Linked DNA regions of Mus musculus. The protein of the gene in region 1 purifies or fractionates together with the protein of each later gene. This does not show direct contact. Links are inferred from orthologs where the notes say so. Each region holds a gene or a part of one and is shown on either strand. Other genes may lie near its edges.

Region 1 (15,878 bases):
CGGGGTGGAGTGATGAAGGGTCAGGGTCTTCCTGAAGGTGAGGGCAGACACCATACACGGCAAGCCCAGGAAAGGCACGACCACGATAGGGAGGCCTCAATGGTAGTTTGGCCTTGAGCAGCACCCATGGAAAGGTACGTCCATCTCAAGAGTAGCTGGGGCTTTCTTCTGGGCCCCCAGTGGGGACTCCATGTTGAGGCACTACCCTACATCATGCTGCTGCCCTGGACCTCAAAACCTGCACTTTTTTATGACCCCCACTCTCTCTGCCCCACCCCCATCCCACCCCACTGCTCAACAATTGAAATGCTAACTAACACAAGTCTCTTCCACGGTTCCCACTCTGACTTAAAATACTTGCCGAGTACATGTGTGCCTGTGCGTGTGTAGAAATTACTGGTCCTATCCCTTGGGGCTTCTGCTCACATCTCCCTTGCTAGCTAGGGCCCTGCTCACTCTCGCTGCGACTTCAAGGCCTACATCTCAGATCCCTGCCAGAGCCATCTAAATCAGTACCTGTCAGTTCTTTCTTAGACAGCCTGCCTTCACAGCCCAGCTTCCCACTGGAAGGCAAGGATGCCCTTGCTCTTGGCCCTATGCGACGGGAGATCTAGGCAATGCCGTATCCACCATCTGTGGGTATCCCAAGTAGTAAAGAAAGCCTGTGTGGCCATGTTTCCTCCAACATTGTCCACCTACCTCTTGGGGCCCCTTACCGGGATCTTGAAAGAGTCCACAGGAACCTGGTTCTCCGTGGAATCCAGTGAGGGCCGGCGGGTGCCTGAGGAGGAATAACTGATTGGGAAGCCCTGGGCCGGCCGGCAGAAGGTCATTTCCGCTGATGCAATGGGCGGCTTGTGCCCATGCTTGTGGTGGTGGCAGACACAGAAGATGGACAGCAGGATGGAGATGATAAGGGAGAAGAGGGCAGCTGTGATGATCGTGCGGCACAGCGCATCACACAGTGGGCCTGCGGAAGGGCAGAGTGACAGAGACTGCACTGTGACCATCTGAGATGTTACAGACCGGGTGCAGGCATCACTGTACCACCTCCCCCTGTGTTCACTCTCTCACAGTAGAAACACTGATTTGAAGACTGCACACACTGCCTCCCTCAGACAGCACAGGCAGTATGCCAGCCACACCAGCTATACTGTTTTCAGTACAAAAAGGTAGGATGAAGGAAGAAAGGATCGGAGGCTTTGGACAGAGGGTTCTAGAATGAGCCAAATAGCAGGAGACTTCCACAGTGCCAGAGGCCGAGGGAGACCCTGTACAGGAAATCTGATCAAGTTACTTGGAAGGTCTGCTCTCTGAGCTTCCTTCATCAAGAACTGTGGCTAGGAAATGCTTTAGAGGGACTCTGACCCCTATTCACAGGGGCACCAACGGTACTGGGCCCAAAGGGAAGGAGGAGCCTCCCGGGAATCTAACTGCCTCCCCCACAGTCTCTTCCCTTGGTGGACCTCATAAATGTTGCTCAGAACTCCCTTGAGGGTTAGGGGAGGTTGGGGAACTGTGTGGGAGGCATGACTTACCCTGGCTGTCCTCTGGCTCGCAGAAGCATTTCTTCTCATCAGGGAAACAGTTGCAGATGCCGTAGCCTGCTTTAATGCCCTGGCGCTCCCCTCGCTCGTGTCCTCCAACAATGTCGGCACCTGAGGACATAGGTGGCACATTAAGTTTCCTGCTGTGGCCTGATACCTCAGAGTCCCCAACTCGGAGTCAGTAGCTCAGGCCCATCAAAGGCAATAGGTTCAGAGGCCCTTCTCATCTGGGCAGAGAGTTTAACACAATAACCCCCCCGCCCATACTGTCTATGGAAGTGGAGGGGAACCAAGACTCCTCAGAGTCATTGCTAAGGTCCCAGAAGACATCACCCATGGCTAGCCCCCAGTAACAGTAAAGATGGAAGTAATAGATAAGAGGCAAGGTGGGTTCTGAGCCAGCAGATCAGGGACTTGAGTTTCACAAGTCAGCCAAGGATAGGCAGGCCATGCTACAAAAGCCCAGTCTTGGGGGAACACGACGAACATTCAAATGAGATGGTAGTGGGACTGGCTTGACCCATCCTGCTTGGTTCAACCTACTATCACACACTTTTCCTCTTCAGTGCTAAGATGAAGCCATGGCCCTACATAAGCTAAGCTCGTGCACAGACAATACCCCCGTCCAGCCTGAGGCCTCCGATGGGCATCCATGTTCAGGAGGAGGTTAGGATTTCCAAGCTCTCTGCTGCTACCTCCCTCTCCTCTGCCCTTCCCGGACGCTGATAAGATGCATCACCACGGGCCTAGCATGGGCTTACGGAGACAGTCCTGGGGGCAAATGTTGGCATCCCGGCTCTCCACAGCATCACAGTGGCCGTCGGGGCAGGTCCTGGTACTGGGGGAGCAGGTGGAGAAGTTCCTGGTGATCCCTGTGGTGGAGCATACAGCAGGCTGTCACCCCACAGGGGCACATCCCACCACGACTCTGTCATGGTCCAACTCTGCCTCTCCTGGGACAGGGAGATGAAGGGACAAGTGGGGCAAGGCCACATACACCTAAGACGGCAGCGAGAAATGAGACAAGGGGTTCCCAAGGGCTGAAGTGCTTGGGCATCCCAGGACTGCAGACAGCCTTCCTTTAAGGAGGTCACTTGAAGGCAAGGATCCGTCAAAGCTATATTGCCAACAGGAGCCTTAGAGCGGGAGGTGCACCCAACAGTGAGGCAGACACACTTCCTAGTTGGGACTTTCTGGAAGAACCACTCTGTCTCCCATCTGTCCCAGCTCTGATATAGACCCTTCCAAACCCAGACTGAATCCAACTGAGGAACCGCTAGTTACAAGATGGCACGTGCCCCACCTTCTCTGCTGGCACTGGTTTCCCAAGAGGGACAGGGTCAGAAGACAAGGATTAAGGAAGCTCATGGCAGGGACTAGGAGGCCTTGCAGGAACCCTGATGGCAGCCAGAACATCCCCCCCCCTTCCCCTCCTCCCCGGTGCCCCCCACGACCCCCTGCCGGCTCCCACGCCTACCTTTACCATCTCCCTGGCGCCACTCGCACCTGCCAGTTGGAGAACCCAGGCCACCACATTCCTCACACTCGGGGCGCCTCTTGTTTACTGCACAGGACTTGGGGCAGCCTACTTCTTCAGTAATGGCTGGAAGCATGACAGACAGACAAGCCAAGGTCACTGGGGCTGGTGTGGGCCCAGTCTCTAGACCTCTCCAATGAACAGAATGTAGCAACAGTTCTACTGTCTCTGGACTGAAACTCCACAGGTTCTGGGGTAACCAGAGTATTGTATGGCAGGGACCTAGACACGAGAGCCAGAGGCTCTCATCAGCCTCCTGTCTGCTGAGCCCATCTGACAGGGAGGATATGAGGGTGACCACAGCAAAGGACACATGGTATCACTGGTTTACACCGAAAGACACAGCGAACACATTGTCTGTGACGTCTCACCCCTCCTTGGAGCCCGACACTTACATGTCCCCTCCACAGTGACCACTAGCGAAGCCTGGGTCTGTCTGCGGGTCTGCCGGTCAGTGGCTACCACCGTGTACTGAAGCTTGGTGCACTCAGGTCGCCGCAGGGCCTCTGTGTCATTTACAAATAGGGTCCCCGAGGTGTCCTCGGGTGAGGTGACCACACCTAGGGCAGTGCAGTTGATGCTGGAAGGCTGCAGCTTGTACTGGATGGAGACACCGCTGAACTCCTGGCAGTTTTCCACACAGACTTTCCCGATCTGGAGGGGAGGACAGGGAGGAGGAGAGGAAGGAGGAGGATCGTACCAGTGCACCTTAGCTGGATGGGCTCTTGGGAAGAGCAAATTGCAGAACGGCCCTCAACTTAGCTGTTTGTTTGTTTGTTTTTTTCGAGACAGGGTTTCTCTGTGTAGCCCTGGCTGTCATGGAACTCACTTTGTAGACCAGTCTGGCCTCGAACTTAGAAATCCGCCTGCCTCTGCCTCCCGAGTGCTAGGATTAAAGGTGTGCGCTGCTGCCGCCGCCGCCGCCGCCGCCACCACCACCACCACCTGGCTCAACTTTGCTTGAATGGCAGCCTTCCTCAATGTCCAGTGTTCTACAGCCTCAGCACCTACAAGCCCACCTTGCTTAAGAACACCAACTCACCAGAAACCCACACCACTGGGAGTCAGTTGTGATGGCCACAATCCCCCTGTTGTGTGTCTCTCTCCCCCCGCCCCCCCACCTGTTAGAGCGCCATGCCCTAGCTGGGAGACTGCAATGCTGTCATTGCACTTGAGGTCAAGAGGCCTCTGTAGAGGTTCTGGAAAGAGACCCCTTCTGAGGATGTTTGGCTCTGGAGCCAGGCCCTGAGCCTTTATCTCACATACACTCCAGAGAGCTATGGTTGCTCAGAGCTGCAGGAGTGGTCCTGGTTGTGGGGCCCTGTGTCTCAGGGCAAGCACAGACCTAGGGGGCAGCTTCTTAAGACCCAGAGCAGGGACAGGGGTTTCCCAAGCCACACGGACACCCTAACAATCCAACCTCCTGGTTGCTTCACTTTCCCTTACAAAGAACGTTCACCTCTATCTTCTCGGGGGACCCTTAAAAATATCCAAGTTCAAAACTATGGAGACAGTAAGAAACCAATCACTACAGGGCAATGACTGAGGCTCCCAGGTCTTTTAAATGCAGGTGGATCCGCCTCTAACTGATACCTCCAACCCCTTCTCAAGCCCTTCACTTTGTCATCCCCACTCCCGACCTGATGTTCTCACCCTGGAGAAGGGCTAAAGGCTCTCTCTATTTACAGGCAGGTCCTTCGTGTGCTGGTGACAGGAGTGAGTGAGAATCTGGAACCGACTTTAAGAATTGGAAAGACCCGGGCACAAGAGGAGACTGTTCTAAACACAGTCCGAAGACAGATCAACCCTCTACACCCCCCCCCCCCACCACACACACACACACACACACACACACACACACACACGTGCGCAAACCACAAATGAACTAAAAGCAACCAACAAACAGACACCGTGAGTGCTTGAGAAGAAACAAGTCAGAACGGCAGCAAATGCTGTCTCTGGTGGTCAAGGGGTGGGAGGGACATGTGCCCTCAATCCTCATCATTTTAATGAAGACCACCGCTCACTTTCTACTCTTTGTATTTTCATTTATTTTTAGCGGTGCTGGGGATGGAGCCTAGTGCGTGCTAGGACAGATCTATACCACTGAACCACGACCCCAATCTTTTACTTCTCCATTTCATTTATCATTTTCCAAAGACAAATATGAACATTACCTTGTGATGTCTCTAGCGCGTAAAATTCTATAAGCAGATGTGACCCCTGCCTTTTCCCACAAGCCACTACTGCCAACCACAGTCTGCTACCCACTAAAGTCCCCTCCCCCCATTAAAAAGGTATTTTTGCATTGACAGAGACACCAGAGACCAGGTTCCTCCAACCACTTTTTCCACTTAACAGTACAGCCAAGAACATCTTTCCAAGTAGGCATACACGGGGTTACCTGGAAATGTTTTGTATTAGTGCAAAAAAAAAAAATGTTTTAAAGATACCAAGAAGTAAGACGGTAAGATCAGAAGGCTTGCTCTGGGAGCTAACGAGAGGCTAGGAGCTCTCTAGGGTGAAGCGGGGTAAACAGAGGCTTAAGGATCCCTCTACTAGGGAGCCACCTATGCTAACGCTGCACTGGATGGGCTAGGGAAGAGGTGCCACCCACCCATAGCCCTGCCTGCAGTCTTGGAACCCCCTAACCTCATGCCATGTAATGGGCCACGGGCTCACCTGGGCATAGCGGCGGGCCCTCTTATTCACTGGGAAGGAGTAGGCCCTGGGTAGGTTCAGGGTGACGGGCAGTACAGACACGTTGAAATGGAGGACGAGGATACCACCTGCCCCAGGCCCCTGGAAGTCTGAGTCGTTGACCAGGACCGCGAGCTGCAGGACTCGGCTCTCTGAGATAGACAGGCTCCTGTTGAGAATCAGCTCTGTAGGCGGGCACGACAAGGAGACAAAACAAGTTACTATCCTTCATCATCACGTCTTGTGCCACATACTATATAGCCACACCAACGTCCAACCCTGCAGGTCTGGTGGGCAGTCTTACAATAGTACTGATATTTAAAAGCTAAACATTTTACTCGGCTAGATCTCGTGTGTGAGTGTGTGTGTGTGTGTACACATGCATATGCTCCAGAGAGACATACGGTACATGTGGTACATGTGTGGTGTGTTTATATATAGGGGTTTATTATGTCCTGTGGTTTGATATGTATACAAAGTGTGTATACTTTTGTGGGTGTAGTGTGTTAGGTGGGTATGAAATGTATGAGTGTGGTGTTTACTTACTGGTGGGCGGGTGTAAATTAGCATATTTAAATGAGTTTGTGTATGGGGTGTTTGGGTAGTGTTTGTATACACAGACTGTGTGGGGCCTGGAATGGGTGTGCTCAGTGGGACATATTTTGGTGTATGGAATGTATGTGGTTTTCCTGTAGTGTGTGAGAGTGTGTGTGTGTGTGTGTGTGTGTGTGTGTGTGTATACCAAGTGTCCTGAAGTTCTGGGAAAACATCACGCCGTTGGCTTCTTACTGTAATTGTGCATGGTTGCCCGAACGGAGTTGTTGTTGACCTGGACCAAGGTCTCGATGGGCGAATGCTCCACCCGGAAGGTCTGCTGGGCCCAGGAGTCCCCTGAGAGGAGTGTGTTTGTGTACCGTCTCACCAGCTCCCCAGACGCTGGCACCACATCTGCATCGAACACCTGCAGGGTGGCCACCACAGTGCCCTACAGAAAGCAGAGTGCCAGTCAGCGCAGGTATAGTCAGAGGATCACATGACCTCGCACAGCCCAGAACTAGACCAACTATGTGTTCTTTGAACCAATCCTAGGGCCAGACGATCAGAACTGAATGTTTGTCCCCAGGGCCTCGGGTAAGATTTGTAAGCAAAGCCACAGGGCCACTGGGTTACTCTAAGGTTGTCTAATCAGATACTTTCTCGCTTCCCCATACTGCTCTCACTCCCTAGGAAGCCTGTAGCTAGTTAGTTCCCCAGAGAAGCAAAACACCCTTCTTACTGAGCCTAAGAGCAGGCTGCAGAGTAGCCTGAAGCCCAGCAGGTGGCAGTAGCACACCACCTAGGCTGGTCAAAGCAGCATGGGCGAGGACATCCTCTCATAGGACACTCCTGGACAAGTTGCCCAGCTGCCAGCAGAAGGGAGTACCCTCCTTTTTGCCAGGTCAAGTGAGCCTGAGTGTTCTTCCCCAGTGCTCTCCTCATGAGGCCCTTGGCCTCATTATACACAATCTAAGCACCCCAGGTTCGGGCCTTCACAGTGCCAGCCCAGTTTACTGCAGCTATCTGGCTGGCAGTCAGCCAAACAGACAAGACACAAAGGACAAGTAGAGGGTCACATGACTGGACGGCTAGTGGAACAGCTAGCTAAACAGATCAAATATAAACTGCCGACAGGGACAAACACCAAACATGCACAGGACAAGACAACCAGACAATCAAATGCCACTGTGGGACCAACCTCCTTCCGCTTAAACTCCACCACCGCGCTGGCAGTGCCCACACCTCCAGAGAAGGTGGGCGCCGAGTCGTCCTCATCATACACTGTCACTGGGAAGGACAGAGTCACCGTCTCTTTGTTGGCACCAGGGCCTGCCACTATGCACAAAGCCTCCAGCACATACTTCTCCCGGAGCTCTCGATCCAGGGCCCAGCGAGTGCTCACCTCCAGGCAGTCTGGGTCACAACGGAAGGGCAGACTATCCCCTGTCACCAAGCAGAAGGGAATACCGCATGACCACTGGGTAGGGGATGGGGCGTGGCCTCCCTTGCTCATGGTTCTACCCAGAGTGGATGGCAGTGGGCTCTGTGGGGACGGCACACAGTACTCCAAATATAGGCTGTGTGAGGTTTGTGTCACCTACTGTTTTGTGCCTGGAGCCTTCACTCATGCAAATGGGCAGACAAGGGTTGACATAAGGCCAGGTGTCTCTGTCATGGCCTGGAGGGGGGATGCCCAGGAGGGCAGAGGATAGGCAGAGAGCCAGCTCCAGGTATGGTCAGATTCACAATGTCATCCATTTTGTTTTTTTTTAAATCACAGACATGACATTTGCTCGTGTCAGACAATGGGAGAAACATCCCGGTTCGATGACTTGAAAACAGATACTGGACATCAGGGGTGTGACTGACATTCCAACCAGGATTTCTGGATATGGGATTTGATTTCCTGTTGTTTGTGTCCTGCGATTGTGACCTGATTGGTTTCTTGAAGCCTTCATTTATTCTACATAAGCAAGATGTCAAAGTATACAGGTCCACTTTGCTAGAAGGGCTAGCTCCCCAGAAAGGTCTGCTGTGCCTGCGGATGCTAGCAGAACCCCTGGAACTGGGTTCAACACCCCATCTCTAGCTTAGAAGAATCCATCTGGGTCTCCTTAAGAGCAAGCCAGGAAGCTCCACGATTTTCATGCCAACTCCAGCCTCGCTATCAGCCCATCCTCCCAATCAGGAGTCTGTCCTGGACCCTTCCGTGTCCCTAACTGTACCATACACTACCCTGGCACGAACTGTACCCAACATAGGAGCCCAACTAAGCCTTTTTAGATGCAAGTGGAGACTTCTCATACCTGCCCCCCGACTTCCACAGTTTCCCCTGCACTAGGGAAAGAAACCCTGACATTTCCCCTGACATAGCCAGCCTGCCCCTGTTTGCCACTGTTTCTCTAGTGGCTAACTGCAGTCCAACTACAAATGGTCTCAGTTTAGCACCTTCTGGGGCCAGAGCCTTTTGGCACCTACCCACTTGGTTTAGTGGCCCCTACCTCTCTGTTCTCTCAGCTTCTCACTCCTCCTTAGAAACCATCTAGATTCCTTGACGTGTCCAAGGGCTCTATCCTCCAGATGACTAGAGGCTTCAAGGCAGGCAAGACGCCAGATCGTTTGTTTGTTTACAGTTGTATCCTAACTTCCTTCAACACTACTTGGCTGGTGACAGACATTCAAGAGAGATACTTCTGGAATACTCAACAAGTGGCAAAAAGAACTCGTGGCTCACCCTAAGGGCTTATAGCACCATGCCTCCCATGTAACAGGACAAAGGAATAGCCCCTTGAGGCTGGAACTCACCTCCTAAGAGACTGTACTTCACACTGATGTTGGGACAAAGGAACTGCACGGGTAACATGTGGAAGTGGTAGAAGGTGCCAGGAGGCCTGTTCTCCCTGACTCGGAAGGACACGGCTGTCTCTGGGATGCAGAGATCCTGGGCTTTGAAGGAGCTACAATTTGGGAAGGTGTCGTTGATGAAGGAGAAGTACACACGGGTACAGCCTGGCCAATGGCATTCTCCCTCTCTCTGGGCTGTGGACCCCAGAAAGACCTGGAGGAAGATGGTGAGCAGGGGGAAACCACCATCTGTAGAAAGAGAAGAAGACAGCTCCTTTTCAGGTGAGGGATCAAGAAGAGGGGCAGGAATTCCAGGGTTCAGTGTGGTCCACAAGTCTCAGCTGATACCTCCCCATCGCCGCCCGCTGCAGGATGATGGAAATCAGTAGCCCTCTTACCTGCCTCTTTTGTCTTTCAGGTTTCTGCTCAAATGGTCCAACCTGAAAGAAGTACCCAAGCCCTGCCTGGGGCTAAAGTTTCCAGGTCCTGCCAGGTGAGTGGCCTCATAGTGTAGGTTCCTGCAGGCCTCTGGGAGTTGGACTCTCCACCCTCCAACCCCGCCTACCAATCAAGTGCTTTGCACAGATTTCATTAATACTCTGTAGAAGAGTTTCCAGTTAAGTTCTACCACTGAGGCACCACAGCCCACTTTAGTGAGGTCTAGCCTTTGGCAGAGGCAGGCATCTCCCTGGGCCTCTGCCTTAGGCCTGGCAGATTGCTACAGGGTTCAGTTTGCTTCCCCTTAGCCTGTATTACATTGTTATGATGACCCTGTTGTGGTTAACATTCTCTGAACAAACTGTCCAAATTGCTGTGTGCTTCTTTCCTGACTGGACGAGGCCATGCTCAAACATGAGTGGTGTAGGTCTTCAGGGAACTGCAGGTTTACAGCACATTCCACCCTGGCTTCCCCCCAAGGACTCTCATTCCTCAGTTTCCCACTATGGTTCAGGAGGGACGCAGAGGAAATGAAGGTATTTTTGAAACCAAGAGACATTGCAGAGTACTTCCTCCAGGAACTGTCTAGACCCATGGCTCTCAACCTTCCTGATGCTGTGACCTTTAACACAGTTCCTTACATTGTGGTGACGCTCAATCATAAAATTCTTATTGCCTTGCTACCTCCTAACACTAACATTGCTACTGTTACGAATCATTGTGTAAATATCTGCTATGCATGCCAAGGGGTCTCAACCCAGAGGCTGAGAATCACTGATCTAGACTATGTTGGCACCTCGAGCATCCTCCCATCTTACTATCCTGGCTGCTGTGGTGTTTTGACTATGCTTGGCCCAGGGAGGGGCACTACTGGGAGGTGTGGCCTTGTTGGAGTAGGAAGTGTGTCATTGTGGGGTTGGGCTTTGAGACCCTCCTCCTAGCTGCTTGAAAGCCAGTCTTTCTCCTGTTTGCCTTTGGGACAAAGATGTAGAATTCTCAGTTCCTTCTCCAGCATCATGTCTGCCTGGACGCTGCCATGCTTCCACCATGATGATAATGGACTGAACCTCTGAACCTGTAAGCCAGCCCCAATTAAATATTGTCCTTCATAAGAGTTCCCTTGGTCATGGTGTCTCTTTACAACAATGGAAGCTCTAACTTAGACACTGCTCTTGTCAGATAGGTCAGTCACTCTACAAATCCTGTCGATATAGTTAATTCTGTATCATAGTATTCATCTACCCTGCCTCCACGTGTGGACTGGAACTTAAGGACTTGTGAGGCCATGCCTCAGAGGAGGTCCTGGGAGGCGCATACCATCACCATCCCACATCACACAGGCGAGTCAGATCCTCACTCTCCACACCAGGGCTAACGTCCTATGTGGCCTCGACTGCAGCTCCAGCCTTAGCTTTGGGACACCCTCTAGGTTTCCTTCTGCTCTGCCTCCTTCCTGGACACCTCAAGCCAGCCTGTTGCAGATGGGGAAACATGATTTCTAGGACCAGGTACTCTTCAGCAAGTTCCAGGTCATCAGCTAAATTACTGACTCCCCGGGGAGTGTTTCCAGCCCCTTGGAATCTCTCTCACAACTTGTATACCCTTATGACCCCACTGCACCTAGACTCTGCTCTACACAGAGTGCCAAGTCGTTTGCATGGTTCTCTTAACTCCCAATAGCTTCAGGAGGTAATTAGTATTCCCAAAGTCATGTGGGTCCCTCGTTAACTGGACACGAAGCAACTGCCTTTACCCTGTACCTTACACCCTTGGCCATAAAGCCATCCCTGGCCTCAGACTGGCAGTCGAGATGAGGGCAGCTTAAGGGCTAGGCCAAAGTGGAGTAGGGATAGGGGTGTCAGGCTGTTCTCTTACTGCGGATGCTGAGCTGTTCCCAGGAACTGTGGTCCAGGCTCTGATTGAGGTAGAGAAGGCCAGTAGTCTCATTGATGCGGATCCAGTCATTCTCATGCAGCCGTGTACGGTAGACGCCATAGAGATGCTGGCCCAGGCGGAAGCTCGGCACTTCTCCAGGGGCATCCCGTAGGGCATGGACATAGAGCAGAGGTGTGCCAGCTGGCTGGTCTACATACAGCCTCTCCCAGTAAGCATCCCTTGAGAAATAGAGGCCCAGTGGGGCTGCAGGAGACACGAGGGTGTGAGTGGGGATGGGGAAAACATCGAGGACAAAAAACAAAAACAAAAGCAAGAAACTAAAATTCTAATCCTAGCAAGAATTTCTTACCTCTAGTTCAAAGAACATGAACATAGCTAAACATGACTGATAAATGCACCACATTTAAGCAAAGAAAGGCAAAGGAAGGGGGGAGAAAATACAAAACAGTGCAAAATACTTCTCTGCTACCCAAGTGCAAGTGTAATCTGCCCCAGGATCACACATGACCCAGGAGTTCAGTGACTGTTTCCCAGCATACCACCTGGAACAGGAGGAAGTTTCAAAGTTATGAGAGACTGCCAGACCAGCAGGGCAGGCCGCAGTCCCCAGAAACAAAAGAGCACTGCGTATGAAAGCAACTGACTGTTTATCAAAATATGCTCTTATATATGACCCAGCAAGTCTACTCCATGTGTCCAGCAGAAGGAAAACCGCCCATCCATCAAGTAACCGAGTGTTAAATGGGTGAATTTCTCACTAGAAACAGATGTCCTGCAGTGGGTATTCAGGTAGGCAGAGTGACACAACCATACCACAGAATCCTGTGGCAGCAACCTATTTAAGAGCATGCTCTGTAAGCCTGCCTACAGCCCGATCTTACGGAGGCACTATTTTCTCAGTCCAGACTGCCTCCTCTCGGGTGACTATAGCTTGTTCAAACTGACACACATCTACCTAGCCAGGACAGTATCAGAGTATCTCTCCTTCTAAATCAGGGCTGAATGACATGTGCAATGTACACCTCATATTCTGTGTCCCCATCCATAGGCAGCAGAGCTGCGTGCAGCTTTGGCTGTTAATGATTAATGTCGCTATGAAATGGATGTATAAGTCTCCGGGATGATACTGAGAGATGGAACTTCTGGATCCTACAGGAAGTCTGTACGTGAAAGGGCCCAGGCCATTGCAGGTGCCACCCCTGGGCTGATGGTCCTGGGTTCTAAATAAAAAGAAAAAGCAGGATGAGCAAGCGGTCAGGAACAACCCAGTAGGTAGTCTCTCTTCACGGCCTCTGCATCAATTGCTGCCTCCTGGTTCCTGCCCTGTTTGAGTTCCCGTCCTGACTTCCTTCAATGATGGGACTCTGATGTAGATGTGTACACCAAATAAATGCTTGTCCCTTCCCAACTTGCTTTTGGTCCTGGTGTTTCATCATAGCAACAGTAAACCCTTACTAGGACAAATGCCATTTGCAAAACTCAACCAAAGGGCTGGAGACATGGCTCAGCAGTTAAGAGTCCTTTCTTGTCTGGCACTTACTCACAGCAACAAGAAAATAACGCAGACCTAAGCTGCTTGTTCTGAATCATTGACAGGAGCCACAAATGAAGACCAGGGAGGCCGTGGGTGGGGGGGGCGCTTCCCTAGGAAGCATGGACAGTGTCAGCCACAAGAGGGGTAGCCCGATCTAGAGAGAGAGCAGAAGAGACTGGAGAAGACGGTAAGTTCAGGAAAGAGAGAGCTGGAAGAGGCAGGTGCTAACAAGAAGTCTAGCTTCTCAGGGCTAAGAGACCATGACCCCAAAACGCCTGTCAGAAATGACAGGTTGAACCACCTTGTGGATTCCAGGCAAGACCATGGACGACGTCTGGGTGACTGGCAGAGTTGGGGCACTGGCTAGGACAAAGGTTATACATTCTTTGTCTTGGCTTCCAAGGAGATTAGGCCCTTCCTCTTCCTAGAGTTATTGGGAGCAAAATCTAGTTGGTGGATGGGAAGGTCTAAGAACAACGGCCGCTGCCTGCTGTCATCTTCATCCACACACCTGTACCTCCTCCATTATCTACAATCACCATCCGCACCGTAACTATCACCACACTCATAAGCATCACTTCCAGCTTCCATACAAATCAGCATCACCTCTCTCCTCATCTTCGGAGTCCATGCACAGCTTTAAGTCTGGACCCCCACTAGTGTAGAACAGAGGACTCAGTGTGTGGTAACTCCTTAGTCACCCATCTCAGTGGGCCTTCAGAGTAGGGTGGCTGGTAGCCTGGAAGAGCGGCTGGACAGACGACACATGGACAGACGACACATGGAGTGGAGGTGGAGCTGCTCCTGGCTTGAGGCTCTGCTCTCCCTGCACAACCAAGCAGGGTCCTCACACGTCCTGTCTCTTCCGTAGGACATCATCTCTCACAACGCTGTTAGTATTACCCGCAGTGCTCAGCCCTCTGAGTCTCACATCATTGTATAGTTCTCTGCTTTGGTTTGGGTGGGTGGGGGTGGGGGATCTCCTACACAGATGAGATCTCCTAGCACAGCTGAGGCTAGGGATTAACTCTATGCAGAGACGGGGCCTCCTTCTTCGAGGAGCACGGGCATCAGGCTTTATCCAGAATGCACTGCAGCTACCACCTGCATTTCCATGCCCACCCAGACCAGCTGCACGGCCTTCACTGACATGAAGGATGCCCCCACCCAAATGTGATTTCCCAGCTGCTACTGACTTAATCGAGGGTCTTGCTGGCAGTTCCTTCCGGCTTCTAGACAAAGGAAACTGCCAATTAGGTTACAATTCATTTCTTTCCTAGGACGAGGCCTGGCCACCCAAGTGGCCTGGGGATGAGCGTGTGTGAGTGACCAGACCTCTTTGGTTCTAGGGCTCTCGCTAGTGCTTTATAGCCCCAAGTAGCTGTTGCTGCTGCAACCGGGCCAAGGTCCCAGCAGCTTTGACCCCGAGGACTCTGGACAGTGCAGCTGTTCCCCCACATAACCAACAGAGCACCATGACGCAGAACACGTTCACAGGCTGAGCGGCCACCCCACATACCTCAAGCTCTTTTTTAACAGTCCATCCCAACGCCCCTTGTGTCACCTTCCATTCAGTGGGATTTCTATGGGCTGTTTTAAGCACATCAAAACACTAATGGATGTTAGGATCCTTGTCTTACTGAGCAATAAACCAAGACAGAGAATGGCCCCGGGCCACAGAGTGATTTAGGACTGGGCCAGAGTCTGGGCCAGGCTTTGTTCAGTGACAGCTGTTCATATAGTGCTTGAGAGAAACCAGGTCACAGAGTCCCAGGGACCCAGGCCCATCCTTATATGCCTGCAGTACCAGGATGAAAGTGCCACCGTGGAGATTCTGCCACGCCTTCCCAGTTTCTCCTCAAAGAGACTCAGGACCCCTGGAAGTTTCTTTGGCATTTATAAACTGGCTCTTTAATATTTCAGTGAGATGGAGTCTGGGCAGGCATCCCAAAAACAAAGTAAGGGCTCAGGAAGGTGAAGTCAGGTGGAATTTGCTCAGGGTGCCATCGCACCAGGGGTTCTGGCATGAAACAAACACCAAAGTACAGAACCCAATGTTAAGCTCTCATGAGCCCAACTGTCTGGACACGGGAACTGACTGAGATTGTGGAGCCCGCCCCTTGCACCCACAAAGTCCCAGCACCAAACATGTCAGACAGTGGAGGCTGTAGTCAGATACAGCATCCTTCCTGCTTCTGTGTGGGTATATAGAGGGACAGGTCCTAAGGTAGATGTAAGATGTAGTGCAGGGATCTGTTCTGGGTGAGGGGGATGCTGGGAAGTCAGCTCGAAGTTCAGCGTGTGCTCATCAAGCACTGAGGTGTTGCAGCAGGAGGAAGGAGACCACTTCAGTCTCTGACAGTCTCTGAAGCAGGAGCTGGGACCCAGCCTCTTCTTGGGATGCAGGCTAGAGCAACCTGTCTGTCAACCTGACCCAGGCAAGAGCCATCAGAGAGAAAGGAGCCTCAGCTGAGGAAACACCTCCATGAGATCTAGCTGTAAGGCATTTTCTTAATTAGTGATCATTGGGGGAGGGCCCAGACATTGTGGGTGGTGCCATCCCTAGGCTGGCGGTCCTGGGTTCTATTAGAAAGCAAGCTGAGCAAGTCAGGGGAAACAAGCCAGTAAGCAGCACCCCTCCATGGCTCCTGCTTCCAGGTTGCAGCCCTGCTTGGGTTCCTGTCCTGGCTTCTTCCAATGAGGGACTATGACGTGGAAGTGGAGACCAAATAAACATCTTTCTCCCTGACTTGCTTTTTGGTCATGCTTCACTGAAGCAAGAGAAACACTAACAAAGACAGGGTGGCACATAGAGAAGTCCTAAGCATTTGATCTGGGGGTAGAG
Region 2 (15,878 bases), on another chromosome or scaffold:
GTAAGCTGAGTGAGCGAAGCAAGCAAGCGACATGGAGGCCACAGTAGGTGCAGGAACTGTGTTCCACCTCACCTGGGAGACCCAATGGGGAGCAGACAGTTGCCAGTCTCAGGGGAGGCCAAGAATACACCACTCATATGAGGGCAGACCTGGAGTATATGTCAGCTTTTGCCCTGTGGTTACAGATATCCCTGGGAACCAAGCGCATAGAATAAGGACCATACTCCCTGAGCTTTGCTGAGGGCCTGTAGTCTGAGGCAGGTTCAAACCTGTAAGGCAATCCCTCTCGACACAAGGTCCTGAGGCAGGGATTCCCAATAGAAGCAGGACAGAGGGCCTTTGGACATGGGAAGGGGACATACTACCAGCAAGGTCAAGTGGGAAAGGAAGGCAGGTTGACCCTAGGCCCAGTAAGGCACCCACAGGGCAGGCTGACCCTGAAACAGGGTCTGGAGTCTGGGTTGGGGAGGGAGTAGGGTGATGACAAAGGCTTTCCAGTGCCCTTGGCCTACCTCACACCTCCAACCGACAAGCATACTGGGTAAACAAAACCCAGGGATATCTAGGTTCTCTCTAGCCTTTGTGTTTGAACCAGAGGCCAAGCCACAGCTCTCGGATCTCTTTTACAGATTTGATCTGCAACCATTCCAGGGTTTATATAGATGATCAGCCTGAAGACAGCGCTGGAGAGGCTGTTAACTGAGTATTCCTTGATATGGAAAGGCTATGCTGTGTCAGTGTGTTTTGCCCTTTAATTCTTATTTTTTTTTTTTTTAATTTAAAGAGGAACCTCTGGGCTTAGTCCTAGCTTCTATGTGGATATTAGCAAGGTTGAAAGTGCAGAGCCAGGAGTTCCCAGCCTGGGGTATCAGCTCACAGAGTGGGGCAACAGGATGCCATGGGCACCAGGAGGCACTTGTCTAACAACCAACCCCGAGCTGCTGAAAAAGGAGGGCAGGCGGGCAGGACAGGAGGTGTTCCCCTTGCTCCCTTCTGCTCTCAGCCCCATCCCCAGACTCAGAGGTGCTCTCCTCTTTACATAACAGTTTATCACCCACACTCACTCATTTCTCTATTTTAAAAAGTGCCCAGATTGCCCAAAGATAGCAGAAGTAGGAAATTAAAAAAAAAAATCTGGAACCACAAAGTTAGGAGTTTCAGACGATATGGGGTTCGGCTGCTTAGGGGTGGAGCACGGGGCAGGTGTCTCAAGTCACGTCTCTGCAGCTTCTGGTTTCAGCTCCTCACATGGGGGAGGTAGCACACTCCGAGGTCAGATCCATGTCAAACGTGAGCGACTCTGCAGAGACACACAGAGAGTGTCAGTTCAGCCACCTGACTAAAGCCGACTCACAAACCCTCATCCCTCTGTACGAGGACAGGGCTCAGGAACCACCAGTCTCCTGTTCCTTCAGACATGGACAAGGTCAGAAAAGCCAGACTTCCTGCCCCTCACAGGAGGGCCTTGCCCTCCCAGAAGAGCACAGTCTCCACCTCAGCCCTCACTCTCTCTTTCAGGGGTCTGAGGCTGCCCTGGGTGTGGTAGCCTTAGCCACACACTGCCACCTGAGACTAGCCTAAATCAAAGGCATCAAAGCCACTCCATTTCAAAGACTCAGTAGAGGAGGCGGGACAGGGGAGGACAGCTCCATGATTTCTCAGATGCTGAAGTGCCGCTGCTGCTTACCCAAGCTGTCAAAGTCTCTTACTGCTTTTACTGTGGCTACTGGGAAACTGCATGTGTGTGAGTATCATTTCCACAGCAGAACATGGCCCTAGAGCCATTTTTTGTTTTGTTTTGTTTTTTCAAGACTGGGTTTCTCTGTGTAATAGAGCCCCGGCTATCCTGGACTCACTTTATAGACCAGGCTGGCCTCAGAACTCACAGGGAGGGATCATTCTGCCTCAGGCTTGGGCCACCACACCCAGCTCTAGAGCCGATTTCTACCAGTGTGGATGGCAGGCCCTGGCTCTGTACAGGCAAGCATCAATGGGGCCTGACCCTCCAAACACTCACCAAACTGCCCTCCTGCTGAGGGCTCAGCACCTTCACCGTTATTTCCAAACTGCATCAATGAATCTAAAGTGCGGGGGGACATCGGCAGGTCAATGGTATTGCTGCAGGTCGTTCTGTAGGAAAGGGGGGACGGCAGGAGTGGGAAGGGCCAGGTTGACAAGACACAATGGAGGGGGAAAAAAAAAAAGAACAAACACACACACACAAGCCATCAAACTCTGGTCTCCAACAGAAAAAATAAAAACTCAAGCTTTTTAAACACACAAGGTCACTCTGAGCACTAAACAAGCCCAGCAGCTACCAGCCCTTCACGGTAACTCTCACCCCATGTCCTCCCTATTCCTGGGGACAACTGAGCACACTAGGACACTAGAAATGAATGCGAAACTGGGAAGGGCGGCCACTTACGGTGTCACACAGATGAACTTGGTCTTCAGGTACGGGGCAGCACCTGCAGAGAGGAAACCCGGGCTTTAACAGATTGTGACTTGCTTTGAGAACATGCAAGAGGAATCCTCCTGCCTCTCCCAGACGGCGTGAGCCAACCTTACAGAAACTGCCCAGACACCGCAGTCCAGCTCTTAGGGCTGTCCTCCCTCATCACATGCTGCTTGCCATCCAGTCTTGCAGTTTGAAGTTCTATCTCTTCCATAGAATTTCCTGAGCTGCAAAGACTTCTGCAGAGACACCTGCCCCACCTCTACCCAGCCTACCGTCAACTCTTTTGTTTTTGTTTTTTGTTTTTTTGAGACAGGGTTTCTCTGTGTAGCCCTGGCTGTCCTGGAACTTACTCTGTAGACCAGGCTGGGCTTGAACTCAGAAATCCGCCTGCCTCTGCTTCCCAAGTGCTGGGATTAAAGGTGTGCACCACCACTGCCCGGCCTACCGCCAACTCTTGTGCATCCTTCCCCACCCTGCCTGAGCGACCAACCATCTTTGTGTAGCGTTAGGCTTCTCCTGTGACCTGGTCACACTTGTGAATTGACTTCCCTGTTTGGTGACCAGCCCAGACACCAACAGGACTAAATGCTTACGTGCTGGAGGCTCCAAAGCCACTTCCAATCAGGAAAACATACCCCAGCCACTGGGAGACAGGACACCAGGTCCGAGAACATGTGCAACAGCCAGGAAACCTGGCCAAGGCGCCATCTCTTTCATGTGTGGGACAGAGAAAGAGACAGGACTGGCTGTCTTCCATCTCTGCCGTTTATGTTGGAAATGTGAGGACTGAAATGTTAGGCCAAGAAATCTGGAAGCCCTGGGGACACTGGCATGAAGCCCTGGGGGTTCAGTTAATGATGCTCGCAGCGGGCCTGGGGCTGTGTGGGTAGGCTAAGAAAAGCACAGACAGAACACTGGGGCTTACAAGCATCCAGCAAGACAAACCCCTGGGAGAAGCCATTAGAAAGTGCTCTTAGATGAATATGCAAGCTCATTTGTGGCCAAGAAACAGGTTAACTCAGCACAGAAGCAAAGGAATTATTGAGGCAACTGTGCTGCCTACAGTTCTAGAAAAGGTCTCTAGAGTGAGAACTGTCACCTTAAAGAGACAGAGGGGATCAGGGAGATGGCTTAGTGCTTAAGTCATCTGTCACCAAGCCTGAGCTCTGTCCTCAGGGGCTACATGGTAGAAGGAGAGAGCTGACACCCTCAAGGTCCTCCAACAAGGACCACCCCCAACACACATGCATACACAATAAGTTAGAGCGGAGAAGAGAAGACTTTCATTCTCCAGTGGTCAAGAGAGAAATATTCTTTGACCCGGCCCGAGGTAGGAGTGCGGGACACAGACTGGAGATGGAAGAGAGAAGGAACATCCTGTTGCTGCCTGGTGAACTTGCTCAAAATCCCTCCAGAGGAGCACAGGGTATATTACAGCCTCCTGACAGACAAGGAAGACCCAGGACGAGGCTCCGGGGAGGTCTCTACTGCAATACTCCTGTAGCAGGGGCAGAGGACAGGGACATACAGGCTCACCTCCCTAAGGGGATCATCTGAACCCCCTACCCTTCCATCATCGGGCTCCGGAGCCCCCAGTGCACTCTCCCTAGGCTCACAGGCAAGCCCATCAGGCAGTGGGCTCCTTTCTCATGCCCAGGCCTTGCCCCTGAGGAATGTCTCTGGGCAGCCTACACAGGAATGGTGATGGAGGTGGATGCCTGACCAGGGGCCTGGATCTTGAAAGCAAAATTAGTCAAAAGGATCAGTGCTCGGACTTCAAAGTCCTCTGTGAAAAGAACAAAGACCAGTGTGAGAGGGACTGATAAACAGATCTTCCAACTGAAGGCAAGGTGGAAGCAGAGATAAGGGACAGACAGGAAGTGAGAGCTGAACTCCTCCACAGAATGAAGAGAACTCAACAGCAGAACAAAGGGAAAGGAAAGTAACCGTCAACAAGCGACTCCTCCAAGAATGGTGGGCAGAGCCGGGGAAGCTGTGTGCAGGTGCTATGTGAACAGAAGCGGTTGGTGAAAAAACACCAGAGCAAGGAGGCCGGCTCACACAAGGCACCTCAGAGCAAGGAGGCCGGCTCACACAGGGCACCTCAGAGCAAGGAGGCCGGCTCACACAGGGCACCTCAGAGCAAGGAGGCCGGCTCACACAGGGCACCTCAGAGCAAGGAGGCCGGCTCACACAGGGCACCTCGGAGCTCAGCATGTGCAATGATCAACAACAGTCTTAGAAAACCAGACTCCTCACCAGCATAAGGACAGAGGCAAGCGTCAATGCAACAAGTTTGAAATGGCTTCAGACCAGACACCTCTGACTCTTTACACTGGGACCGCCCCAGACACTACAGACTTAACACAACATAATTTCTATTTTTCATATAATTTATACCAGCAGTTCTCAACCTTCTGAATGCTATGACCCTTTAATACAGCTCCTCATGTTGTGGTGACCCCAACCATACATTACTTTTTCTTACTACTTCATAGCTGTAATTTTGCTACAGTTATGAATCATAATGGAAATCTCTGTTTTCCTATAGTCTTAAGCGCTCCGTGAAAGGCTGAGAAATGCTGATTTACAGCCACACGCACTCCCACAGAGTAGATGCATCTTGTTTCTAAATGCCAAGTCCACATTCCCTCCAGTCATCATCTCTGGAACATCAACACCTCCAGCTTGATGTCAGCTCTGCCCCAGGCTGCCAACAGCCACTGCCCCAGAAAGCCTTTCTTCAGACTCCTGGCACTGCTCACTCAGGACAGCAAAGCATGCTGGACTCAAATCTGTCTCGGGTCTTCTGGAACCCACTGACTGGAGAAGCACCAGAGAGACCTGCCTTCATTTCTCTTTCTAGTGTTTTAAAGTGGCGGGGTGGGAGGGAGGGGGAGATGGAAAGGGAGAAGAGAGGAAGAGGGAGAGATACTATTTTCATCTTCAGACTTCCAAGCTCCCTGAGGGCTGATTCTGTCCTCCTCTTGAATCCTGAGTTAGTCACCCTGTCAAGGAACCCAATAAACCACTCTTTCCCAAAAGAAGGAATCACCAAGCCCTGCTCCCACAAGATACTCAGCCATGTCCTTGTCTCTCCAAGGATGCGTACTTTCTCACTAGGAAGGAAGGCAAAGCCATGGAAAGTCAACAACTACCTGGGTCGGCTTCGGGGTGCTCCTGGCTCTCGGGCCTACAGTACTTTCCAAATGCCTCCTCCTTGGGAATGTCGGGGTAGAGGTAGACAAGTGGAGACACCAGGATGTTGGTCGCATCCATGATCTTATAGCCCATGATGATTTCAGCAAATGACATGTTGTTCAGCTGCTGCTTGGTGTATGGCTCTACAGACTGGATCTGGGTCTTGCCTGTCACGGACCATGGAAGGAGAGATTATGCCAGTGGAGTGAGTGCTGGAGACTCTGAATGCCCTGCCCAGTGACTTGGAACTGAGGCAATATCCAGGCGGGCTTGTAGAGATCCAGCTGGCTCATAGGCAAAAACACCTGCCGCAAATGTATTAACGGGGTAGGCAGGAAAGGGAGTACAGAAGTAAGATTTCAATCACACTTTTCTACACAAATGTTAGCCAAATGAGTGAACAGGACAAACTGGCAGGCCACCTCTTCAGGAGGCACAGGCCCTCTCTGCCCTTCAGGGGGCAGTAGTACCCAGAACATGAAGTAGCCGGGTGCTGCCAGTGGCCAGCAGGTGGAGCAAGTGATACAGGAGGCAAGCGTTCTTACCACTGATGTCCTTTTCCACCCAAGTGAAAGTGACCCCTCCTTCTTTGCTGCTCTCGCTGAAGCGCAGTAGGAAGGTGCCCGGGGGCTTTGTGCTTAGGATGGCCCGCTCCCGCTCCTTGCTGATGAAACCCATGATGTACCTGCAGCCAAGGACAACCAGTCACGGGCTTGCTGGGAGTAGGTGACTCGTTACACAGGGCAGCCTTACTGCAGAGTTTAACCTTACCCTTCATTCCAAAGGGCCAAGATATACTTTTTCACAAGGTCGATGATATTGTCTAGCCAGACCCAGAAGGAGAAGCCCTTGCCAGCCATGTTTTCCTGGAGAAAAGAATGGGAAAGCAAGTCCACCACCACTCACCCCAGCTCTTTCCTGCCAGAGCCTTCTTACACCCTCAGGTTCCTCTATCCTCAGGCAGCTCCTGACAGCTGCTGGAGAAAGGGGTCCTGGGCACCCCACACCTACCTCCTAACTGAGGGAATCAACAGGATCACTTACTTTGCAGAATTTAGCCCATGTGATCTGACACCCTGAGTAGTTCACACCAGGCCCTGGAAGAGAAAACAACAACCGGATTTCAGCCTTGGCCAAAGCTATTTCTTAAGCAGAATTTACAAAAAGGCCATGCATTTGTACATGTACTTACAGGGTGTGTGCCACACATGCCCACACACACCCAAGCCCAACAGCTGTCCCTAGATTAGGCCAGCACAGATGTCCTGTTGGACCCCTGCTTGTCCTTGCCTTGTGTGGTCTGAGAACTGGCAACACACAGTGACAAAGCTGGCAGCTGGGGTCAGGAGCCTTTTTTTTTTTTTTTTTGTAGGAGCACAGGTCAAAGTTACTTTCAGTCCAGATATTTTTTTAAAGGGGAGAAAAAATTTAAAACTATTGTCTTTGGCTTTTTAAAGAAAGAAACATGCTCTTCAAACACACTTAGCAACCTGGTCCTGGCATGGTGCCTTGCCCTAGGCTGACATGGGGACCCCGACTGAATGACCACCCCCCAGGCCAGACATGTCTGAAGCTGTCAACCTAGGAGCTTCTCAGCCAGCGTTGTCAGCTGCTCGATGCTCAGCCCCCGCTTGGTGGTGGACGAGAACTGCCAGCTGAGCACCTCGGCCACTTGGTCCCAGGTTCCAATTGGCGGCTTAGTGAAGAAGTTCACGTTCTATTGAAAAGAACACATTTGTTCACTTGGATGAGAGAGTGACACTGACAGCCTGCACCCACTTGGATGAGAGAGTGACACTGACAGCCTGCACCCACTTGGATGAGAGAGTGACACTGACAGCCTGCACCCACTTGGATGAGAGAGTGACACTGACAGCCTGCACCGGGGGTGGAGAAGCAGCAAGGTTCAGGGATTTCAGAGAGGGTTGGGGGTGGGAAACTCACCTTGGGGTTATTGGTCAGCATGTTATACCACAGGATTGATGCCCAAGCATTTGGCATCTGACAGATGTTGGAGATCACCACAACTGGCAAGGAGTGGGTCTGTAGAGTATGGGGACAGGCGGTGAATGACTTAGTGGGACAGCTGGGCTCTCACAGCTCCCAACCCTTGTCACCCGCATCTCAATAAGTTAGAATTAAAAATCACACCATGGCCACCCCTCACGGCAAGTGCAGGCTGGAGCAAGAACACCAAGAGGAGAAAGACCAGCCTGCATCAGGACCAGCCTGCATCAGGACCAGCCTGCATCAGGACCAGCCTGCATCAGCACTGATGTCTGAACATCATCAGTGACTTGTTCAAAGTCAGGCCCTAAAAACTAACACTAGGGCTGGAGAGATGGCTCAGCAGTTATGAGCACTGACTGCTCTTCCGAAGGTCCCGAGTTCAAATCCCAGCAACCACACGGTGGCTCACAACCATCCATAAAAAAGATATGACTCCCTCTTCTGGAGTGTCTGAAGACAGCCACAGTGCACTCATAATAAATAAATAAACAAACAAACCTTTAAAAACAAACAAACAAACAACTAACACTAACCCAAACACTAAGGCTAACCCAGGCCCTCAGCCCGACTCTCCAGAGACAGACCTGGAAGGCAACCTCCAAACAACCTGCATCTTTCCATGAAGCTGAGGTGTTAGAAATCAAACCTAAGGATGTCTGCTTTTCCAGGTCTAAACTTAATAAGATCAAGAAAGATGGAAAACAGGGGCTGGAGAGATGGCCTATCAGTTAAGAGCACTGACTATTCTTCCTGAGGTCCTGAGTTCAATTCCCAGCAACCACATGGTGGCTTTACAACCATCTGTGATGGAATCTAATTCCCTCTTCTGGTGTGTCTGAAGAGAGTAATGGTGTACTCACATACATAAAATAAATAAATCTTTAAGGAAGGAAGGAAGGAAACAAGCAAGCAAGCAAGCAGGAAAATAAAATCTAAATGGCGGCTACTAAGACCCACTTGCCCAAACTTCATCAAATCGATTCTAAACAATCACTAATATAGATTTTCATAACAGGTACTCAAGCAAGACTTTACTCTTGGGGACAGGGTGGCTCTCAGGGACGTTTCTGAGATAGATAATGAGAAACAAATCCAGGCTGGGCAGACAGCCATCATCCCGGCAGGCGTTCTGTCCTGGCCTCCCTGCACACGCACCCCCGCACACGAGCCGCCTGGTTCTGGGAAGGCCTCACCTCTAGGTCAATCTTGAGGCCTTGGTGGTACACCTCAGTCTCGAAGGTGATCAGGTGCAGCTCCTCAGTCACGATCAAGGAGGCCTGCAACAGCATAAGGTCTCTCAGAGACACTGGCAGGGACACAACTCTGCCCTCTTTCTTCCACCCAAAGACCCAAGGACATGATCCTCACATATGCACTACATAGTACATAACCATATCTTACAATACACATTCAAGGCACGAAGAATAACAAAGCAATGAGCATCCAAGGATAAGCCACCCAGCTTACGTCCTTATTTGAGGGCCAGCAAGATGGCTCAGTGGGCAAGGGCATCTGCCTGCCAACCCGAGCCTCATCCCTGGGACCCACTTGGTGGAAGAAGAAACAAGTCCTTCAAGTGGCAACTTGACCTTCACATTCACACCATCGCACATGTGCGACCATACACAAACACAGACACACAGGAAGGAAGGAAGGAAGGAAGGAAGGAAGGAAGGAAGGAAGGGAGGGAGGGAGGGAGGGAGGGAGGGAGGGAGGGAGGGAGGGAGGGAGGGAGGGAGGGAGGAAGGGAGGATGGGAGGGAGGAGGGAGGGAGAAGGAGGGAGGGGAGAGAAAGAGGAAGGAGGAAGGAAGGGAGGGAGGAAGAGGGAAGGGAGGGGAGGGAGGGGAGAGAGAGGAAGGGAGGGAGAGGGAGGAGAGAGGGAGAGGGAGGGAGAGGGAGGAGGGAGGGAGAGGGAGGAGAGAGGAAAGGAGGGAGGGAGAAAGGGAAGGAAGGAGGGGAGAATAGGAAGGAATAAAGGAAGGCTTCTTAGGTTTCTTCTCTCTCTCCCTCCTTCCTTTTATATGCACTAGGGAGCAAACTCAGGGTCTCATGCATCTAAGTGCACCCCAACACTGAGCGATAGCCTAGCATTATCATCCCGCATAAGTTGCCATTATCACCGAGATTCCCCAGGTGAATCCCCCTTCTCTGCACTTTACTGTGTCTTTGTCTCTGCTGTCTCCCAGCTCCTCCCAACCGTGTTCATGGTTGTTTCTCCAAGCATGTGTACTTCACACAGTGAACTGCACTCTCAGTGTGTTCCTGCTCCTGACACCCCACCCCCACCTTGATGAGGGTCTGTGGTCCCGTGCAGGTCCCAGTTCCTCTTTCAGAGCTGTAGAGTACTCCACTGCCTACACCACAGCTCATGACCCCAGTGCTGAGAGATCTGAGCTGTGTCAATGACCAATGGCTGTGACTGTGTTATCTGTCCTTAGTTCACCTATGCAAAGCTTTCTTTACTGTTAATTCCTAAGACTGGAACTGCCGGTTTACAGGGTGTGCTCATTTTTATGCCAAGTCACTTTCTAAAGTGACTGTGATAACCTTCAGTGCCACACAAGCAGTCAAGCAATGTGGCTACCTGTGGTCATGAGCTGTGGTGTAGGCAGCAGAATACTCTACAGCTCTGAAAGAGGAACTGGGACCTGCACGGGACCACAGACCCTCATCAATTAGTACACAAATTACTGATGAATTCTCAGGAATGAATTTCCAGCTCTTTTACATGTATGTGCTGAATGACAGAATGATCTCAAACTCACAATTCCCCTGCCTCAGCTCCTGAGCACAGTTTGGTTGGTGGTTTTTTTTTGTTTGTTTTGTTTTGTTGTTGTTTTTTTTTCTGTTTAGCTCTGACTGGCTGACTTGATGTCTTCCTTTTGTCTCACCAGGCACTGAAAAGGGAGCCAGCTGGCAGGTAGTAGCAAGGGACTCTGGGAAGCCCCGGGCAATGTGGAAACTTCTTTTCTACCAGATGGGTGTGGGTAACAGCTTGGCGAGGGACTTCCCACTGCTGAAAGGGAGCCAACTCCCCAACACTCAGGGAAATGTTTCTCGCTAGAAAACTCCACAGCACCTGTGACTTCTGAGCATGTCACCCTGGCCCAGAGCGACCAACTTTTCTAAAGGACAAACATCTGAAGTAGTGGGTTAAAGTTTTAATTCTGGGTTGGAGAGAGGGAGAGAGGGAGAGAGGGAGAGAGAGAGAGAGAGAGAGAGAGAGAGAGAGAGAGAGAGAGAGAGAGAGCGAGAGAGCTTTCTCTTTCTTCCTCAAAGAAAGAAAACAATTGCTTTTAGCCCGAACAAAACTTACTTACATCACAATTGGCACGGCCTCCATTCCCACATCTCTGCTCCCTAAGGGTCTGGAAGAAAGGAAGAAGAAGGAGGCAAGTGTCACTTGAGGCTGTGCCAGTCTCTCCCCCCTCCTCTGCCACCTGGCCTGTGCCGCCTCCTCTCCCCTCGGACACCGACCAGGTGCTTGAACTCTGCAGACAGGCTGCCGTTGTTAGACTCCTCCATGTTCATCACTTTTGTGTTCGTGCCCAGAATGTTAAATTTCCGAGACCTAAATCATGGGAGAAAAACCAACACACAGTGAGCGCTGAGTAGCCAGAGGGTAAAGTTGGATGAGAAAGAACAAAAGGAGGCCCAACTTACCCTCTGAGGGCAGCAACATCCCCAGAGTCTCTGTAAAGAACACAGACAAGGGTTAATAAAAGCTGAGATTAGAGCCCCTCTTTCTTTCCAGAACCTACTCTGATGGAACATGCCTTTCGATGCTCAGTTACATTTTCGGTGTGAAACACAACTCTGTATGCACTTAAACAGTAGCCTTAGCTGGGGGCCTAACCACAGCTTCTTTCCCTTCCTAAGGAAAGCTCCATTCTCTCAGTAAGGGATGGCAGAGCCATCTATCTCCAGGGAACCCCGATCACTGCATTCATCAGAACAGAGGAAGCCACAGAGCAGGTGAAGACGGGGTCTGCCTTGTCTGTTTTGTCGGCTTTCCGAGACAGCGCTCTGTGTAGCCCTCCTGGCTGTCGTGGAACTTGCTCTGTAGACCTGAACTCAGAGATCACCTGCTTCTGCCTCCTGGGTGCTGGGATTAAAGGCCTGTTCTCAGCCAGACCAAGGAGGCAATAGCCTAGGCTGATCTTCTGTCCACAGCCATGAGACCACCTGGAAGGGAACCTGTCTACAGCTGGCACGGTAAGGATGGCACGGTAAGGATGGCATGGAAGACCCAGGGTTCCTGAAGACACCTGTGAGTCACCAGCCTCATCCTTAGGTACTTGCCCCAACTGCATTTCCAGTTACACGGGTGGTGAATTTCCTTATTATCGGAGCCACGCTGGGTTTTCCAGAAAGGTATGTTGTTACCAAAAACTGACACCACCTCCCACAAGGCAGCTGGAAATGCTATCCTCACGTGACCACTGCTGCCTGTCTCTGACAGGCCATCTTTTTATATTATGACATTTCTGTCTTTATCTTATTTCAGAACACTATTTTACAAGTTCTTCTTAGCCAGACTTGGTGTCAGATACCTTTAATCCTAGCACTGGGGAGCACAGGCAGGTGAGTCACTGTGAATTCAAGGCCAGCCAGGGTTGTAGAGTCAGACGCTCTCTCAAAATAAAACTAAGTAAAATTTCTTTTCCATTGCTATATTTTTACCTACAAATAGCATGTGTTGGTGGGTTTGTGGAAGAAGATTATTAACTTCAAACCAGTTCTCTTTCCATATACTCTATTTTCAAGCATTACTTATTTACACGTTTATTTTTCAGTATGGGGGTTGAACCCGGGCCTCGTGCATGCGTGCGTGCTAGGTGAGCCTGCAATACTGAGCTGCACACACTCAAACTTTTCTTTTCAATGCTTCAGGCAAACCGGGCAGGGTTTGCAAGGGTTTTGAACACAGCTGTTCACAAAAAGAAGATCCCTGAATGGAGACATCTCTAAAGTCAAATGTCTGTCCAAGTTCTTGCTTCTCCATCCCTCATTTGAAAACAAGAGTTAGGCTTAAGAATACGGATTGGTAGCCTACAGAACGGGATTTTTCTTTTAAACCAACTACATATCCAATAGAGGACAAATGCCCGAAAAGAATTTTAAGAAAATAAATATCAAGAAAATACAGACCAGTTAGAAATGGGGTACAGATCTAAACAGAAAATTCTTAATAGAGGAAACCCAAGTGGCTGAGAAACAGAGAAATGTCCAACATCCTTAGGATCAGGGAATGCAAATCAAACTGCTGTGAGAGTCTATCATATGCCTAACAGGATAGTTAAGATCAACACAAGTGACAGCTCATGCTGTCGAGGATGTGGAGTAAGGGCCACCATCACATATTGCTGGTGGGAATGCAAGCTCATGCAGCAACTATGGAAATCAGTATGGCCGCTCCTCAGGAAGACGGGAATCCATCTACCTCAAGATCCAGTTAGACCACTCTTGGGCACATACCCAAAGGATGCTTCATCCTACCACAGACACTTGCTCAACCACGTTCACTGCTGTTCTCTCCATACTAACCAGAAGCTGGAAACAACCTAGATGTCCCTCAACAGAAGAATGAATAAAGAAAATGTGGTACATTTACATACGGAGTATTACTCAGCCATTAAAAAAAAAAAAAAGAAACTTGCAGGCAAATAGATGGAACTAGGAAAAAAAAAATCTTCCTGAGTGAGGTAACCTAGACCCAGAAAGACAAATGTGGTGTGTACTCACTTATGTATGGATATTAGCCATTAAGTCAATGATAACCAAGCTGCAATCCTTAAGAACCACAGAGGGTGAATACAGACTAAGGAACTACAGAGAACAAATAGATCTAATTAGGAAAAAAGAAATAGAAGGGGTTCTGGATAGATGAGGGATTCTGGATAGATGAGGGATTCTGGATAGATGAGGGATTCTGGATAGACGAGGTCTGAACTTGGAGGAGCAAATGGGGAAGCCGAGGGGAGAGGAGAGCTGGTGGTGGGAGGGAACAATGGGAGACGGCAACACTTATGGAGCATCCGTGGAGTAGTATCGACATCTCGTACAGTAGGAACCTCCTAAAACATTCACATATGTGAAGGTGATCTAGATTCAATCGCCAAGTAATGGGGGAGAGTTGGGGTCCCAACTGGCGATCTCTTGCCACCAAATAAAGCTTCCAGTACTGGGTTAGGGTTAAGTCTAATTGAATTGTTGGCCAAAGGGAATCCTCAAACAATCCACGCTGTTATCAAGACCATCGGTTGCTTTCCACAACTGACAGCAAGGCCCCACTGTTGAGGATAACACCTACACAACTCACTGAACATGGGCACGTGAAGCTGGTGCCTCCATAGAGCCCCCCACTGTATGCCAGAGTCTTTGTTATAGGAAGGTACTCTGCATGCTATCAAAAGAGAAGTGTGAACAGCAAGCCAGCCTCAAACCTCTATCTGTAATAGTGTACTGCCTGCAGGATATGCTAGGGCAATGGTGGCACAAACCTGTGGAAGTAACCAACCAACAAGAGTCTTAAGGCTCACTATACAAGATGAAACTCATACCCAACAAGGCTTGGGTGGCCAAGAACCAGAGACTAGATAGCCCAAGGACCTAGGGAAAAACTAAATAATACTGATCTAAAAAAGAGAAAGGAAAAAAAAACAATAAAATGACTCCAGGTGACATTCTGCTAGACTCAGATATCAGTGCCTTGCTCAGCCATCATCAGAGAAGAGTCCTCCTGTCCAAAGATGGGAAGAAATATAGAGACCCACAGCCAGACATCATGCAGAGAAAGACCTTGAAACACTCATTCCCTAAATGGGATGTCTCCAGCAAATCCCTCCCCTCAGAGCTCAGGGAATACCAAGGAAGAAGCAGCAGAAAAAACATTAAGAACCAGAGGGGTTAGAGGTCACCAAAACCACAAGGCCCTCTGAATCACCACGAGCAAAGCTCATATGAACTCGCAGAGACTGGAGCAGCATGCCCTGGGCCTGCAGGGGCCTGCACCAGGGCCTCTGTGCTAATATTGTGGCTTCCCATGTAGTGTTCTCATGGGATTCCCAGGGTGCAAACGAGTGGGACTCCGACTCCTGTGCCTTCTCTTGGGTTCTTTTCCTCCTGTTGGTTTGTCTCGTCCAACTTGGATGTCATAGCCTTTGTTTTGCTTTGTTATATTTTATTTTGTTACATTAAAAAAAATGAATGAATGAATGAATGAATGTAAACCCACCACTAGGGTGAAAGATTAGCAATGGAGCTGCTGGGAGCAGCACTGGCTTTGTCAACCACTCAGTGCGGGTCTCGTGAGCAGGACAGTTGACCAACAAATAGTTTGTTGTGCATGCTCTTATTTAATCACAATTTTAGTCCCATCTTTTTTCTTTTTGGGTGTTGTATTTTGTTCTCAGTCTTTTGGGGATTTTGTTGTATTGGGGTTTTGGTTGTTTAGTTTTTTTGAGAAACTTGGGTGAGTACAGGAGGAGGAGATCTGAATGTACTTGGGAGAAGGGAAGAATATGAGCAAAGCATGAATTTAACAGTTGCTTTTAAATAATAAAAATTATACACTTACACACACACACACATAAAGAATACTTACTTATCAATGCACACTTTAATTTTAAGCTGATAATTCAACTCAGGAAATTTGACCAGCAACCTATTAAAAAATATAGTCAAGGAAAGTTAGTAGGCTCCCTACCTTGATCTCGTTAAAATATAAACCCCCTAATACTTCAATTCCTAAGATGTAAAAATATTGCTGAGCATGGTGGTGCATGCCTTTAATCCCAGCACTTGGGAGGCAAAGGGAGGTGAATCTCTGGGTTCAAGCCAGCCTAGTTTACAGAGAGTGTTCCAGGCCAGCCAGGGCTACAAAGACCTGTCTAGATGAAAAATACACACACACACACACACACACACACACACACACGCACGCACGCATATATATATATATATATATATATATTATTTTTACAAACCCAAATTCTACTTCCGCAGAGTCATCTCTGACATTAAAAGTGAACACTAACCCTTCAGCTAGAAAGTACTGAGATGCCTAAGCATGTGAAGCAAGTTGTAAGAGACTTCTCACGGGAAGGCAATAAAAAGCATTCAATGAGAAATACTGCACGTGTTCTGAGCCAGGTGAGGAGTGGGCTTCATCTCTCACCCAATGGGGCCCCTCAGCTATGGCACCAC

The links.
Region 2: the proteins of Ret (region 1) and Stat3 purify together in Homo sapiens (affinity purification with western blotting; 3 studies listed by BioGRID and IntAct, with this or other methods). This does not show direct contact. The link is inferred for Mus musculus from reciprocal best matches to the Homo sapiens genes RET and STAT3.

What each region holds. Positions count from the first base shown.
Region 1 is NC_000072.6:118,172,699-118,188,576, forward strand, and holds part of Ret (proto-oncogene tyrosine-protein kinase receptor Ret isoform c precursor), read right to left. Parts: intron 11,743-15,878; coding exon 11,479-11,742; intron 9,415-11,478; coding exon 9,127-9,414; intron 7,765-9,126; coding exon 7,520-7,764; intron 6,770-7,519; coding exon 6,574-6,769; intron 5,970-6,573; coding exon 5,767-5,969; intron 3,739-5,766; coding exon 3,480-3,738; intron 3,151-3,479; coding exon 3,025-3,150; intron 2,420-3,024; coding exon 2,309-2,419; intron 1,659-2,308; coding exon 1,539-1,658; intron 971-1,538; coding exon 717-970; intron 1-716. UniProt on the Homo sapiens protein: Receptor tyrosine-protein kinase involved in numerous cellular mechanisms including cell proliferation, neuronal navigation, cell migration, and cell differentiation in response to glia cell line-derived growth family factors (GDNF, NRTN, ARTN, PSPN and GDF15).
Region 2 is NC_000077.6:100,887,461-100,903,338, forward strand, and holds part of Stat3 (signal transducer and activator of transcription 3), read right to left. Parts: intron 15,337-15,878; coding exon 15,277-15,336; intron 11,364-15,276; coding exon 11,334-11,363; intron 11,242-11,333; coding exon 11,148-11,241; intron 11,039-11,147; coding exon 10,991-11,038; intron 8,947-10,990; coding exon 8,863-8,946; intron 7,703-8,862; coding exon 7,604-7,702; intron 7,377-7,603; coding exon 7,241-7,376; intron 6,757-7,240; coding exon 6,704-6,756; intron 6,526-6,703; coding exon 6,431-6,525; intron 6,345-6,430; coding exon 6,205-6,344; intron 5,827-6,204; coding exon 5,614-5,826; intron 2,469-5,613; coding exon 2,426-2,468; intron 2,131-2,425; coding exon 2,018-2,130; intron 1,301-2,017; coding exon 1,245-1,300; 3' UTR 1-1,244. UniProt on the Homo sapiens protein: Signal transducer and transcription activator that mediates cellular responses to interleukins, KITLG/SCF, LEP and other growth factors. Once activated, recruits coactivators, such as NCOA1 or MED1, to the promoter region of the target gene.